Linked DNA regions of Caenorhabditis elegans. The protein of the gene in region 2 interacts with the protein of the main gene of each other region in a pairwise test. Each region holds a gene or a part of one and is shown on either strand. Other genes may lie near its edges.

Evidence for each region. Proteins that work in one complex are often made in the same cells at the same time.
Region 1: the proteins of nstp-4 (region 2) and C15H9.4 interact in a two-hybrid assay, tested with the Caenorhabditis elegans proteins (one large-scale study listed by BioGRID).
Region 3: the proteins of nstp-4 (region 2) and T02C5.1 interact in a two-hybrid assay, tested with the Caenorhabditis elegans proteins (one large-scale study listed by BioGRID).

What each region holds. Positions count from the first base shown.
Region 1 is NC_003284.9:6,095,797-6,100,669, forward strand, and holds the start of C15H9.4 (Transmembrane and coiled-coil domains protein 2), read left to right. Parts: upstream 1-1,846; 5' UTR 1,847-1,916; intron 1,917-4,873. Other genes in the region: C15H9.5 (GOST seven transmembrane domain-containing protein), read left to right, coding at 48-189, 669-880, 945-1,052, 1,109-1,142.
Region 2 is NC_003280.10:386,828-393,251, forward strand, and holds nstp-4 (UDP-N-acetylglucosamine/UDP-N-acetylgalactosaminetransporter nstp-4), read left to right. Parts: upstream 1-2,005; 5' UTR 2,006-2,014; coding exon 2,015-2,122; intron 2,123-2,327; coding exon 2,328-2,504; intron 2,505-3,042; coding exon 3,043-3,126; intron 3,127-3,332; coding exon 3,333-3,525; intron 3,526-4,231; coding exon 4,232-4,461; intron 4,462-5,332; coding exon 5,333-5,466; intron 5,467-5,617; coding exon 5,618-5,711; 3' UTR 5,712-5,905; downstream 5,906-6,424. Other genes in the region: C03H5.3 (SRF-dependent transcription regulation-associated protein), read left to right, coding at 1-212, 832-994. UniProt on the Caenorhabditis elegans protein: Uridine diphosphate-N-acetylglucosamine (UDP-GlcNAc) transporter in the Golgi apparatus. UDP-N-acetylgalactosamine (UDP-GalNAc) transporter in the Golgi apparatus.
Region 3 is NC_003284.9:2,693,094-2,698,800, forward strand, and holds T02C5.1 (TNFR-Cys domain-containing protein), read left to right. Parts: upstream 1-1,829; 5' UTR 1,830-1,841; coding exon 1,842-1,889; intron 1,890-1,939; coding exon 1,940-1,987; intron 1,988-2,030; coding exon 2,031-2,095; intron 2,096-2,967; coding exon 2,968-3,045; intron 3,046-3,096; coding exon 3,097-3,538; intron 3,539-4,127; coding exon 4,128-4,277; intron 4,278-4,325; coding exon 4,326-4,378; intron 4,379-4,427; coding exon 4,428-4,541; intron 4,542-4,762; coding exon 4,763-4,848; intron 4,849-4,901; coding exon 4,902-4,996; 3' UTR 4,997-5,180; downstream 5,181-5,707. Other genes in the region: igcm-3 (Ig-like domain-containing protein), read right to left, coding at 5,505-5,663.

The DNA.
Region 1 (4,873 bases), on a different chromosome or scaffold from region 2:
CTGATACTGGAAATACTGAAATTTAATTATTTTTTTATAAATTTTAGGTCAATTCAACACTTGGTAGAGGGAGCCACTACAGATGGAAAAGCCGCAGCCAATTTGGAAAAACTACGTTTATTTCGACAATTTTATATTCTCGTTGTCGTCTACATCTACTGCACGAGGTTTTTTGGCTTCATATTACTCGTGAGTTTTAGAATTATAACAATTAAACATGTACAAAAAAAATTCTTAGCTTCAAGCCAGCGCCAGTGGGAAAAGTGTTGAAACCCCACTTTTGTGGTGCCAAAATTCCAAATATCACAGTACAACTTTATACAATTTTTTTAAATTTTTGATATTTCGTTTCAAAAACTGGTAATTACTCAGGTTTTACTACTTCATTGAAGTGGTCGGTCAAAAAAAAAAACTACCTTTGGATTTTATAGTCTACGTATGTTTCAAACATCGGTTTTTAAACAATGTAAGTATAGATTGGGACAGTGCCAAAAAAAATGGCAAAATCTCAGTAAATGTCACTTTTTGACTATGAATTCAACATTTGTAAAAGATTTACTATGATATTCGGTCTTTTTGGTAACCTAGGAGCGTGTTCTAACAATATCGTCACCGGCTCCTACTCTAATTTTAATCATACATATGTGTGCATAATTATTCCCGTTCAGCACTTAATGCCTGTGAACCTCCAATGGACCATTGTCGCTGCAGTCGAAATGGTTACCTTCGCATTTTTCATCATCGTTGGCTACAAATTCCGGCCTGCCAATTCACACAATTATCTGCTCTTGAACTCGGATTTTGATAGCTATGATGTGGAGACATCGCCGAAAGAAGATAGGAAAGATAAAGAAAACAATGAGCAAGAAATTGATGAGCAGTGAGTCATTCGTTTTATCATCTTTGTGAAAAAATCAAAACCTTGAGTTGAGAAAATCTTGCAGATTCCTGACAAAAGCCTACTCAGATGCCAATGTGTCGAGGAGATTGGTTTCAGATGAATCATCAAACAACCAAACCGACTATCCCCATCAGAAACTTTTGAAGAAACCGTGAGTGGCTTTCAGTATTAATACATAACATTCAATAATAATCTGTATTTGTTCAGTTCTCAAACCTACGAACAATCATTGCTAGATTAATTATAATCCGTTACAACAACAACAAAAACAACAACGAGTTCAGTGCAAACGGAGGGAGGCTTATCAACTCAACCAACCAACTGTTTCGATTATAATACTATTATGGACAGGATGATCATCCAGACTTCTATCGCGTTCTACTCACTATTTTCAAACATTTTGCTTTTCAAATAACATTTCTACCGGTCCTTTCTAGATGCATGATAATGTGTATATAACTATTTTAAGATAATGATGAAAATTGAAACTGATTTTGAAATATGATAAAAACAATTTCAAATTCCATTGCAATATCAATCATTCCTTAGAAAATATTATCATCATTATCTAAAAACTTCAAGATGTATGAACTAAATTTTTTCAAACATATAGGTGAAAGTACACTGGCCAAAGTGTATAAATTCTAGTCTCCGCCTCCTTTTCCCCATCTCTAATCTTTTTTAGTTGTAACATTTAGTCCAATAAATTTCCAGTCGTGTGATGTGATAACTCGAGACTCCCTGTAAAAAAATATTGTTAATTATTTTTCATTCTATTGTGTACTATTTTCTGAACCTTCTGTGTCTTTGTGTGCTCTATGGTCATCTAGTGAATTCAATATCTTATAATTCATTAATGAAAAGAAGATTTTTTTCCTTACTTAAAATCCTTTGTAACATTGATATAACCTCATATTACAACATCTATACAATATTTCATGCAATTCAGAACGACAAACCAACTCTAATGAGGGATCGCCGCATTGGACAGCTGTCCGAGTTAAAAGGACTAGTGGTAAGAGAGGGGTGAACAAGCATGGCGAAAGGGGGTACGCATTATTGCGTGCGCGTGTTTGCGTACTGCGCGTATTAGCCATTGTCTGCCGACCACCCGGAATCCGGCCATTTTCTGTGCACCGCAATAGCCAATACCGCTCGATTATTAGTTTTACGAGCCAATTTGCTCTTTTTATAATCCATCTTAGCTGTTATCGATTTTTTTTCGAGTTTGTATGGTTTTATATGCATTTTTGTTTTGTTATTAATGCTATTATTATTGGGTTAATTGCGCAAAATAGTTTTCCAAAAGTTTTTATGTTGAAATAATAATTTCCTTCTTTATACTCCTTTTCTAATTATCATCATGGTTTTTTCTCTTTTATCTGTCGTTTCCCTCAAATTGCAAGAAAAGTGTTTTCTTTTTAATTTAATCACAAAATGATTATTTTTAAATTATTAAAAACAATATGATTTATGGTTCAATTTCAACATTCACTTGATGTATATCAATTTATATTGATTTTTCGCGTGAAAATATCTCAAAAGAGCTAATTGAAGCGCGGAAACTTGTTTACTGTGTTCTTTTTCTCTGTCTGATTCACCAGACATCACAATGCTCAGTTAGAAGGCAAAAACATTTTTTCCTCTCCTATATGCCTCTCATTGTTTTGGCCGTTTTTGGCCGTGTGGATTACTGTTTTACAAACTGTAGAATAGAATTTTCACACTTTTTTATTTTTCTTGATGTAAAAACTTTGATTTTGAACTGCAATCCGATAGGGGGAGATCTTCATTGAAAAAACGTTTTACCGCACTAGAATGTTCTCATAATTAATCAAACATTAACCAGTTTTAATCAACTCAAAAAAGTGGAACTTTACCCTTTGATAACAACTCCATTTCCGACTATGATGGTCAACGGTGCAATGATAAGAGAAACGTCTCCCCCTGTATATTGACATTTATGTGCTTTTTCAATTTTCCATTGACTACATATAAGACAGTAAGGTGGACAATAGGAAATAGTTTTGCTCTATTTTATGTTTTTGTTCACCACTTCCGTACCTGCAAAAAAGAATTCAGAGCTTGAAACCTTGCCACCTATTACGACCACAGTTTGCGTACAAATGAGTGTGTGTGTCCGTTCGCGTCCGGCCAATCCTCTCTTCGTCGCCTAGCCGTTTTTTCGCGCGCCTCGATCTTGATTTTCCGCGTTCCTGCAGTTTTCTGTGTTTTTCCGAAACTAGGCAAAATCAAAACGCGGCGCTCGATTTCTTTTCCATTTCCTGTTGACTAAGAAAAGAGTGTTTTAGTCAATCTTCCAAAGTGGTTTGATTGACATCGACGCCCCTATTTCACCACCAAAGCGTCTTCTTGCCCCCCGCTTCTTTCTTCCCTCATCTTTCAACCCTTGCCCCATAGATGGATGGCTTTTACATACTTTTGGAATACTTGCACTTCTCCCGCTGCTTGCTCTGTGTAGTTCAAAGTTGTCGAGAAGAACAAAAACTGCAAAAGGCATTTTCTTTTTTTTTTGCTTTTTCGCTTCATAGATCGTCGTCATGAATTATGTTTGGCGCGTTTGAGTGAGGTGTGAGTGCAAAGACCTTGAAAAACATTTCAATCGTTTTTTTCACAGATGAGCAGGTTGCCTATATATCTCCCCTCTCGTCAACTCGCTTTTTGTCACCATTGTTCTTTTGACCATTTTTACCACCTCTAACCTTTCGGGTTGATGTGTATCTCAATACTTTTTACGGTTGCGCCGCATTAGACCCCCGCGTTCGGGAGGAGGCTACCCCACAAGTGTTGACATACTCTTCAACGTTTCTACGTTTAGTTGTGCCCTCAATTTGTTATTTTGATTTCTTTTGGGCAAACATAACTATATTCCTTTTATTTGCCAATTTAATGTTTCAAAAAGTCGATTAATTACGTTCACAGCTCCCTTTACGAAATAGTGATGTGAATTGAAAATTTACTGGAGAATGAACTACTGGGTTTTAAACTTTGTCGTAATAAGTGCAAATAATTAACCGGATTTTTTTCTCAAAATTTGAATACCCGCGCAAATTCTTGCTGAACAAATTTTGTATGTTTTTTTTCCAAAAAACATTTTTTGTAGCAAATGAATTTAATATATTTTTTATAAAATAACCAAATATCATAATAAAACTTTAAAAAAATTTTGAAAATGTTTTTTATTTTGAGTAAAAAAGCTGTGAAAACTCAGTATTTATATATTTTTTCTATTTTTATTTTTTCAAAAATATTTTTTCATCCAGTTTTGTGCTTTGATTATATTCAAAATACTTATATTCAATAATTTCCGCATTGTAGAGATTATAACTTTTTACCGCTTCTGACTCGAAATAAGATTTTGTCCAAAGTTTTTTGATAAGTTCTATTATCATATTTGGTCATCATATATTATAAATCATGTAACTATATAAATATTTTAGGTCATAGCAAAAATGAATAGGAATTTCAAAAAAAAAATAAAAGCAAGTCCTTATTTGTTTTGCATACTTTTTCTAAATTTCTTTCAAGTTTTAGTTTTAATGTTAAAAAGTATAACAAACCGTCTAAAACTAATAATAGAGCGTCTTTACAGTCCAAACAAAATACGTGAAATTGATTTCCCGCCTCTTCAGACTTTTTCAAGCTGAAATATTTCGATCTCAACATTTTTGTTTAAATTTTGTAATAGCACAAAGTTCCAGAGTGCATTCTACATGTTTAACCATTTTTCCCCATTTCCACATTTTTCAATCGATGAAAAATTAATATAATGGCGTCGGATGAGACATACATTCTTTTATTTTCAAAATGTTCAGAAAAAAAGTTCCACTCACACCTCGTGATACAGTGACTCAGCCACTTTGAAATGACCAATTGTTAGAAAACTATTTAGTTGGTGGTTATAATTTACGTTTATATTTTAAATCATTTGACATGTTTCTCATTAAATTC
Region 2 (6,424 bases):
AATTCCGATTCCGACGATGATGAGCCAATGGAAGCCACTTCAAAAGCTCCAGAGATGTCAGTCGCTGAGCCAAAAAGTATAATTGAGAAGCTTCTGGAGAAAAAGGCCGAAAAATCGGCGAAATTGGCGGCCAAGAAGCTGAAGAAGAGAAGCAAGAAGAAGGAGGCAAAGAAGATTTCTGATGGAGTTTTTCAAGTTAAAATGAAGAAAAGGTTTATTTTTTGCTAATTTGAGTGAAAAAGTGAGAAAATTCCAATTTTTCTCTGCAAAATCGATATATTTTTGGCGAATTTGCATAATTTTGAGCTATTTTCGGCCGATTTTATGAAAAATTTTACCAAAACAATTTTTTGAAGCATTTTTGTGAAAACTTCTTTCCTTTTCTGCCTAATCTTTAAGCCTAAGCCTATGCCTATGCCTATCCCTATCCCTAAGCCGAAGCCTAAGATTAAGTCTAAGCCTAGGCGTAAGCTTAAGCCTAAGCCTATGTCTATGCCAATGCCTACGCCTATGCCTATGCCTGAACCTATACCTTAGCCTATGCCTATGCCTAAGCCTATGCCTGAACCTATACCTTAGCCTATGCCTAAGTCTATGCCTAAGCCTATACCTATGCTCAAGCCAAAGCCTGAGCCTAAGCCTAACCCTATGCCTGAACCTATACCGTAGCCTATGCCTAAGCCTAAGCCTATACCTGAACCTATACATTATCCTATGCCTATGCCTAAGGCTTAACCTATGCCTATGCATCTTCCTATGCCTAAGCATAAGCATGAGCTTAAGCCTGAGCCTATGCCTATGCCTACGCCTACTAATTTTTTCTCATTTCAGCAAGGCAAAATTCAACGTTGTGACTCTCAAAGCTGGTGTCCAGAACATTTTAGAGCCACAAATCAACTTCCGCGAGGAGCTTCTCAAATCAAGAACCGCCGGAACTCGTCTTGCCGATACTGAAAAGTTTTTGCAACGTGGCAAATGGGTCTCGAAGCGATAATTTTCTCCTTTTTTTGTTAATTTTTCTGTTATTATTATCATTTCCAACTTGTTTTTTGTTATGAAAATGCGATTTTGTGTTTTAAACCGTGTTTTTTTTTTGCATTTTCCATTTTCGTCTCATGCCGTCGGTCCGAATTCGGTCAAGGTTATTTCTTATACCAACTATCCAATTTCTCTTCATCTCTTCACCGTTTATGTGAATTCCTTCAGATTTTCTTTTTGAAAAATGCCGATTTTCAAGCTAAAAAAGCTTCAAAACCGTGATTTTCCACAAAATTGCCTCTCTCCACTAGAGACGCAGATGGTGAAAGCAGTGTGTAAACACACAGCTCAAAACGTGGCTTTTCGCATTCTAAATAGATTGGCGTTGCGTTTAAAAGCCAATTTTTTGTGTGAAAATTGGTTTTTTCTGGTTTGAAATTGTGCAACGTGGAGTTAATTTTTTCTAATTTTTCCTTAAAAAATTTAAAAAAAAAGTTTTTTCCAGGTTTTTTGAAAATTAATATTAAAAAAAAAAGGAAAATATTACACAGACGCGAAATGTCGCGTCAAGAATATGGTACCAGGTCTCAACGCGATAATTTTTGGTTGAATTAAATTCGACATGCGCTTTTAAAGAGTACTGTAGCTTCAAACTTTAGTTGCTGAGGAATTTTCATAGTTTTTCACACTATTTGTTAAAATTATTTTTTTTTTTAATAATTAAATTAAAAATATTTTTAATAAATTAATCAATTTTGGCAAATTGTGAGAAAAACTGAATAAACTGAAAATTCCCCAACAACTAAAGTTTGAAGCTACAGTAATCTTTAAAGGCGCACGCTCGTTTTGTATCTGACAGAAAATTGTCGCGTCGAGACCCGATACCGTAGTTTTGGCGCAAAATTTCGCGTCGGTGTGATATTTTTTTTTTCAATTTTTGACCAATTCCGTTAATAATGGGTCTCGCCACGATAAAATTTCCTCTCTTTTTTTTACAAATAATTAGTTTTAAAATCAATATTTCCAGGTAAAAACCATGAATCGAGCTAACGACACGAGCTCCAATCTGAAGCTCATCTCATTGGTCGTGCTCATTGTGCAAACCACCGCACTTGTTCTCACCCTGAGATACAGTCAAACGCAGGTAGAAAATGCAGAAAAAATAGTGAAAAAATACCACAAAAATGGAAAAAATAGCTTAAAATAAATAAAAAACTATTTTTTGGAATTTCAATTTTGTTTAATTTTCGGATTTTCAAAATTTTTAAAATACCTTTTAAAAAAGTTTAATTTACGATTTTTTAGGCATATAATTATAATTTTTTTCGTAGAAAAAAATTATTTTCCAGAAATCCGAAGGACCCCGCTACCTGTCCTCCACCGCTGTCGTCTGCGCTGAAATTATCAAGCTTATCACATGTTTCTTCGTGATCTACCGGAATAATGGATATCGGTTCAGTGGAATGCTCAATGAGCTCAATCGGGAAATTTTCGCGTCTCCGCAGACCAGGGCTGACTCGTTGAAGGTGAAAATTAGAATTTTTCGGAGATTTTTGGAAAAAAATCAAAAGAATTTTAGACAGAATTTTTTAGCGATTTTCAAAAATTCGAAATTTTCAAAATTTCAATAATTTTTGTATTTTTCCAGTTATTGGAATTAAAAAAATTTAAATGTAGCTTTAAAAAAATCAAAATTTTCAATTTTTTTTAATTTTCAAAAAGTAATTATTAATTTTTTAGAACTTTTCTTTCGAAATTTACAGAATTTCAAGGGTTTCTAGGAATTTATAGACATTTTTCAAAAATTTTCGATTTTTTTTGTATTTTAAGAATTTTTTAAAAATTAATTTTTTAAAAAATTGAATTAATTGAAATTTTTGAAATTTTTTAGTTTCTAACTTATTTCGAATTTTTAGAAATTTTGAAAGTTTGAAATTATCTGGAAAATTCAAAAATTCAAAAAATTGAATTTTAGGATTTTTTAGAAATTAAAAAAACAAAACTTGCGAAATATAATTTTTTATTTAAAAAAAATTAATTTCTAATTTTTTTTCCAAATTTCAGGTCGCAGTCCCAGCCATCATGTATGTTATCCAGAACAATTTGCTCTTTTTCGCTTTGAAAAAATTGGACGCCGCTACTTATCAGGTACAGTTTTCATGGTAAATTTTTAAAAAATTTTTTCAGGCAAAACTAACGAGTTTTTAACAAAATTTTGATTTTTCCGAGTTTTCAAAAAAAAATTGCACTGAAAATTTGACGAAAAAATGTTTTAAAAACCTTCAAAAATTAGAAAAATGGCCGAAAATCTTTTTTTTTTTCAAATTTTTTAAATAACTTTCCCCAAATTCCAGGTGACATATCAACTGAAAATCCTCACCACCGCGATTTTCTCCGTCACAATGCTCGGAAAATCGCTTCACCGGTACAATTGGATGGCTCTGATCCTTCTGACAGCTGGAGTTGCCCTGGTACAGTACCCCTCTGGAGATTCTACTACTTCTAAGAGTACCGCAGCTGAACACGATGCTTCTGATAATATTTTAGGTAAAAATGAAAATTTTAAGCTCGTTTTTCGATTTAAAAAAAATTTGAAATTTTATTTCCAAAAGAAATTGGAAAATTATAGTAATTGTAAATTAAAAATTTTTTTTTATTCAAATATCGATGTTTTTAAACTGAAAATATTTATTAAAAAATTCAATTTTCGTAGATTTTAATTTTTTTTTTAAATCTAGATTTTTTCAAAAATTAAACCTGGTTAATGCATAATTTTTGCTATTCTTTTCGAAAAAATTCTAAATTTTTTGACGAAATAAAAATCCCAATTTTTTTTTCCAAAAATCTATTTTTTGGGAGAAAAACTACTAAAATTCAATTTTTGTAGGAAAGTTTTAGTGAAAAACGTTTTAAAAATGTTCCTAAAAGTGTATGTACGTTTTAAAAGACAACATTTAAGAAATCGATAAAAAACCATTCAAAAATTTAAAAACGAATAAATCAGCAAAAAAACGGCAAAAACCATTAAAAAAACAAAAAAAAAGAAAAACTGGAAATTACAAAAAAAAAATTCAAAAAATGTGGAAAAATATCAATTTTCAATTGGAAACTGAAAATCTCAATTTTTTATTTAGAACGATTTTTCCGTTCCAAACTGGAAAAAATTACTAAAAAATCAGTTTCTATAGGAATTTTTTAGTGGAAAACTACGTTTCACAATTCAAAAAATCAACCTAAAAAAAATCGTTTCCAGGCCTCGGAGCAGTTCTAGCCGCCTGCTTCTCATCCGGATTCGCTGGTGTCTACTTTGAAAAAATCCTGAAAACATCGAAAGTCTCCCTGTGGATCCGTAATATTCAGTTGGCATTTTTCTCGGTATTCGGAGCACTTCTCGTCTGTTGGCTCTATGATTGGCAGGCAATTAGTGATGATGGATTTTTGAGAGGATATAATGGAGTTATTTGGATTGTCGTGCTTTTGCAGGTTGATTTATTGGAAAAATTTGAAAAAATAATGCTAGAAAATTGAAAATTTAATTTTAAAATTATAATATTCGGTTTTATCGAATTTTTTTAAGTTTTTGTTTTTGAAAATCGGAATTTTGTCTTATTTTTCTTTTAAAAAATTCAAACTAATTTCAAATTTATAGAAAATGAATTTTCCAGATTTTCTGTTTTTTTCCAGATTCTCTTTTTCCAGATTTTCTTTTTCTTTTTTTTTCAGATTTTCAGTGAAAATTACATTTTTTTCACAAGTTTTTCACAAAAAAACTTGCAATTTCTAATCTAAAAAATTTATTTATCTTTTATTGAATCGGTTGTTTGTTTTACAAAAATCCTTCAATTTTTCTTAATTTTTTTTTGCCAAAATTTCAAAAAAACCATTTTCTCTCAGAAAAACCTTCAATTTCCTATTAAAAATCTGAAAATCAAATAAATTTCAAATTTTCACAGAAAAAGAATTTGCTCCGATTTTCTGCGAGAAGTTTGATTTTTTTTTTGATTTAATAATTTTTAAACAAAATTTGAAATTTGTGAAGATCCCTACAAAAAAAATTTTTTTCTGAAAAATTTTTCAAAAAATTATTTTGTTTCATCGAAATTTATTTCTTATTTATTTTGAATAAAAATGCTAAAATTCTGATTTTTTATAAAAAATCCGAATTTTCAGTTTGAAATTAAAAAATTATTAATTTTTCGATTTTTCCATTTATTTTGAAAAAAATTGAATTTTTCATAATTTTTTTACAAAAAATTGAAAATTCAGAGCTACAAAAACTTTTTTTTTTCTGAAATTTTCTGCAAAAATTAAACAAAAAAATCAAAAAACTTTTTTTTAATTCAAAAATTTCCAGGCTTACGGAGGGCTCGTGATTGCTCTCGTCGTCAAGTACGCTGACAATATTCTCAAAGGATTTGCAGTCTCGTTATCAATTATTCTCTCATCATTCACTTCATGGCTTGTTCTCGGAGATTTGACTATTACAACGTATGGGATTTTTTGGAAATTTTTTTTTGAAAAAGAATGGAAAATTTGGACGAAGTTCCGTTTTTGATATAATTTAAATTGAAATTTTTAAAAAAATTGACCAAAACGAATGAAAATTTTACTTGAAATCCATTTAAAAAAATTGTTTCAGAACCTTCGCCATCGGAGCCACCGTTGTTATCTTTGCAACATTCCTCTATGGCCACGAGCCAAAATCGACACCAGCCGAAGCTCATAATGCCTGATTTTTCTGTGATTTCTGTGATTTCCCAACTCCCTCGCTTATATGATTGCATTTTTCTAGTCTAAGTGCAGTTTAATATCAATATTTGTTGGTTTTCTCTTTCTGTAAGTGTAGGGAAGCACACACGTCATACAAATTGTAGAAAAATTGTCAATAATATCGTAAGTTTAAATTAAATAAATTATTGAATGAGCATACTATGACTTTTTAAAGAAAATTGAAGAAGAATTAAAGAATTGAGAAATTAAAATGTTTACAAAAAATTCAAAGTTCTCTTTAAGACATTTCGAAGAAATAATTTTTCATAAGGAAATGCCTCCGAACAATATGAAATTTTACTTTATTAAATTCTAACTGTTTAACAATTTGAGAAAAATAATTTTTCTTGACCACAAAATTATGATTATGAAGGCTGAGAAATGGGAAAAGCAAAAAAAAAACAAAAATACCAAAAGTTGCTGCAAATGACTAATTCATTTATGCTGAATTCAGAAAATCTAGGTGTAACACGTCGAATTATCGATAATAATTAAGAAACCTTCAGATTTTTCCGTGAAAAAGTTATTTACTGCAATTACTCAATTTTTTTGATTTTTTTTCCAGTTAGTTTCGACATTTTTTTAATTCGATAACTTTCGAGGTGTCGAAAGTTTTTCGTGAATACATATTTGGTGCTCTCTGTGTCTCTCCGCCCTCGGCACATCGGACCACCAT
Region 3 (5,707 bases), on a different chromosome or scaffold from region 2:
AACATGTTCCATAATGCACTGATAAGACAACAACTACCGTGTTGTCAAAAACAAACTGTTTTAGGTTTAATCGGAAAACGATTGAGACCGTCGTCTTGATGGAATATTATGAAATCACTGTCAACAGAACAAGTGACCAAAAAATGTTGTAAAAAGCACAGATGGACATGAGAACGCACAGTTTTTATTCAGACACCGCCTTACAGATGCGAGAGCAACCAGAGCAGTTGATGGGCACACAGGCACGACGATTAGTGGGCAGCCGCCCGTACTCTCTGTCTTTTGACTGCATCTGGGCAGTTGTCTAGATATCGATACAATTTTGACCCAACAACACAGTAAAATTTTGGTCAATATTTGCTTTTTATCATAACTTCCCTCCTGTCATTTTTGATTGTTTTGTGAGTGAGAGTATGCAAATGGTGAGATGCAACTTTTGCCAATGGACTAGTCACAAGACTAAATAAAATAGAAAACTAGTCGCAATAAATTATTAGAGTGAGAAATAAGTTTTGTGGTATGTTTTTTTTGTGTCTCAAATAATATAAATTTTTCAAACGTTTGTACCTAACTTTTTTAAAATTCAATTTTCAATATAAATTGAATATGTTTGAATTCAAAAATATATAAGTCCTTGATTTATTCTGGTAAAGTTTACTAGATTCACTCCGTGCATTTTTATTCTTCAAATATTTGATTAGGCTGGATCAAGGATTTTGATTGTCAAACACTGAACCAGCTTTTGGATACAATTTTGCAGTATTGATCAATATTATCATTTCTCTTATGAAATATTTGTTTTCCAGCATACGAAAATGTGTGATATTTTTATTAGTCATGGTATATATTCATGTGACTGCAGTTAAAATGATACAAATGTTCTAAAAGCCGGAAATATTCTGTACTTTTGATAGCTCGTAAATCTCGTTTCAACGCTCATTTGTGAAAAATGCGACCTACAGTACTTTTGGTAGCGGCGTGTAAACTTAATAAATTTTAACATTCACGATTGTGCACTCTCTCAACTCTCATAGAAGTAATTGGAGATTCTGATTTTTTTTCCAAAGTGCAACGTACCACAGTTCTTCTCCAAAACTTTTCCTATTTCTCAACTTGTATATTTTTTCGCAATCGAACTTACTCACAGATTTTCAATACTTCATCTACAATATTTTTGTTAATAAATTCTGAAAATCGGAACATACTGCATTGCTCTGGATTTCCTTTAAAGCTCACGGTTTGAAAATTTTGGAATTCGCCAAACGTTTGACTCAAACTTTCCAAAATTGTTTGGAGTGTTTTATTTGGTCATTTTATTATTATTATTGGTGTATTTAAACAAAATTCCTACATGCAAATTTCGAAAAAATATTTTTGTTAGTTTCAATTATAAATGTTGTATATTTATCATAATTAGGAGACAAGAGCAAGATCACTTTCCAAGTGATAAAATTTTTTTTTTGAATTTTCAAGAAAATTTTCATCAACTATGTTTTCGAATTTGTTTTAATGGAGAATGTCATCTTTTTAAATAGTTAATAATTTTTTTCACAAAACAAATCCGCGTGTTTTTGGAAACTTGAGCAGAAACTTTTTCTATTTGTGCTTCAATGGTTATTTGTCTTCACTTTTAATAAACTATCAATTGCCATGTTTTCATATTTTTAATTTTCCACCTCATAACTCACCTCCCTCGCAACTCAGAAAATTAACATTGGCTTCCAAAGTTCACCACCTTTTTTTCTCTAACCACACCATACAAATAGAACTGTTATCAATCTGAAATTATTTAAAAAGACGTCGCTGAGATAAGAGCGTCAGTCCTTTACACGCGGCACGCAATGAGAGGAGCACTGCAGTTACTACTTTTTGTTGGTACAGTCACTCTGGTGAGACCTATTGTACACTTTGAAAATATTCTAGTTAAATTTTTATTCAGGTGGCCAGCAAGCTACATGAGTCCCCTTACGTTACCGAATGCTTTGATGTATGTTTAAATTGTTTTTTTGTAAGTTCTCAATTTGTTTTAGGGGCACTACAACTTCAGAGGCGTCTGCTTCCAATGCACTCCATGTGGTGACTTCATGTACGAGCTGTAAGTAATTTTTTGTTGATATTTTTTATGCCAAATTCATTCAAAAATTACGGGACACTGTCTCATCGTGGAATCTGTAATAAAAAGTCTGTAAACTGCCAGATTTAGCGGTTAGATCTTTAGATACTTGAAAAACCAATTCCTTATGAAATTGTAAAACATAAAACAATCTGACAGCCCGTGTATTCAAACGGTCTTGTCATTTAGCATTGATGTCAGAATACTGATAACTGTGAAGAGCATGTCATGCACACCTCGGTGTCATATGGTGTCGTGAAAACTTAGTGCTATTGAGTAACAAGGTGATTGATAAGAATAAACAGTACTTCAGTTTGAAAACAGAAATTTGATAGCAATCAATTTTCCGGGCATTTGTTTATTCAAACTTGTGACTAGCAAAACATTGAACATAGTGAGTTCAACTCACCATGGGTTTTCAAATTAACTCGGCATTTGGAGCATGGGTGTGCGGCAAATATGCCAAATTTGCCCAGCACAGCAAAACTCGAAAATGCAGATTTGCCGAATTTGCCGAGATTGGCAAATTTTGAAATTTACACATCAGTAGGAATGTTTTTCAGAAAATGGGTTTTTAAAAAATTTATTTAGGTACCTTAACTTCAAAATACCCGTTTATAAGGTTCAATTAATTTTCTAATATGAAAGTTTATGAGTTTCAAAATCTGCATGCAACCGTTGTAGAACATTATCATGCAAAAATTTAGTCAGGGGTCAAGCTTGATAAACAATATTTATTTTCAGTTTCTTATGACGTCATATATATATATATTAAACATATTTTATTATCTCGTACGGAAAACTCGCATTTCGTCGAAAATTTCCCTTTTGTGAAAAACTATTAAAGTTTTTAGAGCAAAATGCACGGATACTTCAAACACAGTTTGTGGATGGTGTGGAAACAAACCAAACTTGGACAAAATTTCTGATGAGTATGTCATAAAATGAGGCTGATTCTATTACAAAGTTAGCCCATGTTTCAGAGTGCTTGTCTCTTACCAAACCAAGTGTCTTATGTCTAGCCTAGATTTCATCGGGATGACCAAACTGAAAGACGAGCTTGTCAATGTTTTTGATGATGAAAAGGATAGTGAGGAGGTAGAAGAGTTACCAATTAAAGATAATTTCATCAAAGGTGAAAATCTTGAGATGATTGATTCAAATGAGATCAACTACGATATGGCGAGAAACAGTTTAGAAGATGTGTACGATAGTCAAGAGCACCAGCTACCAGACCCGACTTATGAAGAAGGAGATGATTCAAGTTCTTCGGAAGAAATTGGCGAAGAGGAGAAGACTGATGAAAATGAGATTGGAAGCGAAATTGTTTCGGAAAAAGTCAAAGCTTACATGATTGAAAAAAGTGAAAAAGTTCCGTCTTCTGTTAAAATTGCGAAAGGAAAAACTACAATTGTTTCTCATGAGGTAGGTGGAAAACAACAAAACAATAAAGTTAGCATATTTAAATTGTGCTATGCACTGCGGATCTGGAAGTCAGGAACACTGCCTGGTAGTGCTCTCACTGGGATATAAGGGTGAGGCCGGACTTGAACTCGTGGCCTCCAGATTGCTAGCGACCACCACTACCAACTGAGCTATCCCGCTTCTGAAATATGTCGGAGCAAATCATTGAAATAAGAAATTGAAAAGTTTTGTATACTCAAAAAAATTTTGAAGACTTTTTGACGACCCAATTTTCTTGAACTAACTTTTTTCTTTTTGTTTTTGTTGATTTTCTAAGTGTTTAATTTAAGCAAAATTCGCACACAATTGAGAAGATGCCAGAAAAAGTGGCTCCGAGTTAAAACCGTTGGGGTGGTTAAACATTTTTGAAACTGCCGTCATAAATTCCCTCACTTTTAGTATCATCTATAATCTACAAAAAAATTATTGTGTGAAGCTAACTTTTTGATGTAAACTTGGGATATCTCGCTCTTATGTTTTGAAATTGACCATGAAAATTGAGTGCCCAATTTTTAAATTTTCAGAACTAAATTCATCATTTTAATTTCAGGAAGCCGAGGCCACATTCCGAGAGATTGAAGCCCTACCAAACCCTGTGCGCAAAATCAACCAAGACGATTATGACTCCTCTGAAGAGTCAAACGAGCGTGAAATCAAGTGGGACAATTGGGTTGATGATCAAGTGAAACCAATCAGAACGGTATGTCTGCAAATCTACCCGGATTTCTGAAATTTTTTTGAAATACAGAACGTCGAAGTTGTCGAAGCCGAGGAGATTGAGGAATTTGACCAGCTCATCGCGTAAGTCAATGTTTCAATGATTTTTATTTGAGAAATTTCCATTTTTCAGAAAGTCGCTCAAAAATAGAAGAAAGATCTTGAATGATGAGACAGAAAGCTCACCACTATTCATTAAAAACTTGGGTTCAGTCTTTGTCATCTGTATGGGAATGATCATTGTTGTGTAAGTAAGCTAGATCACGTGGATTCAGAATGTCATATTTCGATTTGATCTTCAAAAAATGCGGGAGTTGAGACGCAGACATCTCATCTGATTTCGCATGGTGCTAACGTCTCAATTTTTCTGGAAAAAAACTTCCCGCCTTTTTTTGTAGATCAAACTATAAATCAACACGTCTCAGATTCTAACTTTTGAACTGTAAAATCTATGGTTTGTTTTTCCAGCACTATTCTCTCTATCACATATGCTTTGATGCGTGCGGAAAGAAAGGAATTCTTGGGCGTCCCCACCGACTCGCAGGACTATCATAGTAGGGATTTCAAAAGAGTTACAAAAAAATCTAATGTACAAAGTTTATTCCAGTGATCATTGATTCCAGCAATTATATCGAGAAGCTTGAAAGCAAGGAAAAACAGGCCAGCCGTCACGTTCATGTCAACCCAGTTTTCGATGTTTGATTAATTTTATCTTCTCCGTGAGAATTATGAGAATTATCTGTTTGTATATTTAATCTTCTTTATTTTTTTATTTTTGTATTTTTTAAATGTGCATCCGCATTTTCCATTTCATTTCTTTTTACGTTCTGAAATAGTAAATTTAAAATTTATGGGAAGAATGTATCTTTGATAAAACCTTTATTCCATTTCAAAAAAAAATGTCGGGGTAAAACACCAAAAAGGGAAATGGGTGATAACACCGCCTGAGGCCACGAAATTTAAGTGGAGGGAAATGAGAGGTGATAGAGATAGCATATAATACCCGAAGTTGCATGAATGGCTGACAATGCTCGAAGAAAAAATCAAACAAGGGATGGTTCTAGAAGGGAAAGTGAAAAATGAAAAAGAAAGAAAAAACGCAGAAAGGTACATTTGTAATTAAAATTTCAAATATGGCCATTAAAACTTTTTCAATACGGTTTTTAAAAAACAGGTAACACGGAGGATAGTGGATGTACACATAGATTAGCTAGACGACAGACTGAACAGAAGCAGTGCCCCTATGCGGTCTACTATTAACAGAGCTGATTGATACGGTACTTGATGGCTGTGCTGCGAAGCCTCTTTTGAGTTCGAGCTCTGCATAGTTCACACCCTCGTGGAATGCAGCGACCGTTGTCCGTTTCTTCTGAAGTGATGATGAGAAAAAAAACAAAGAAATGAATGAAAGAA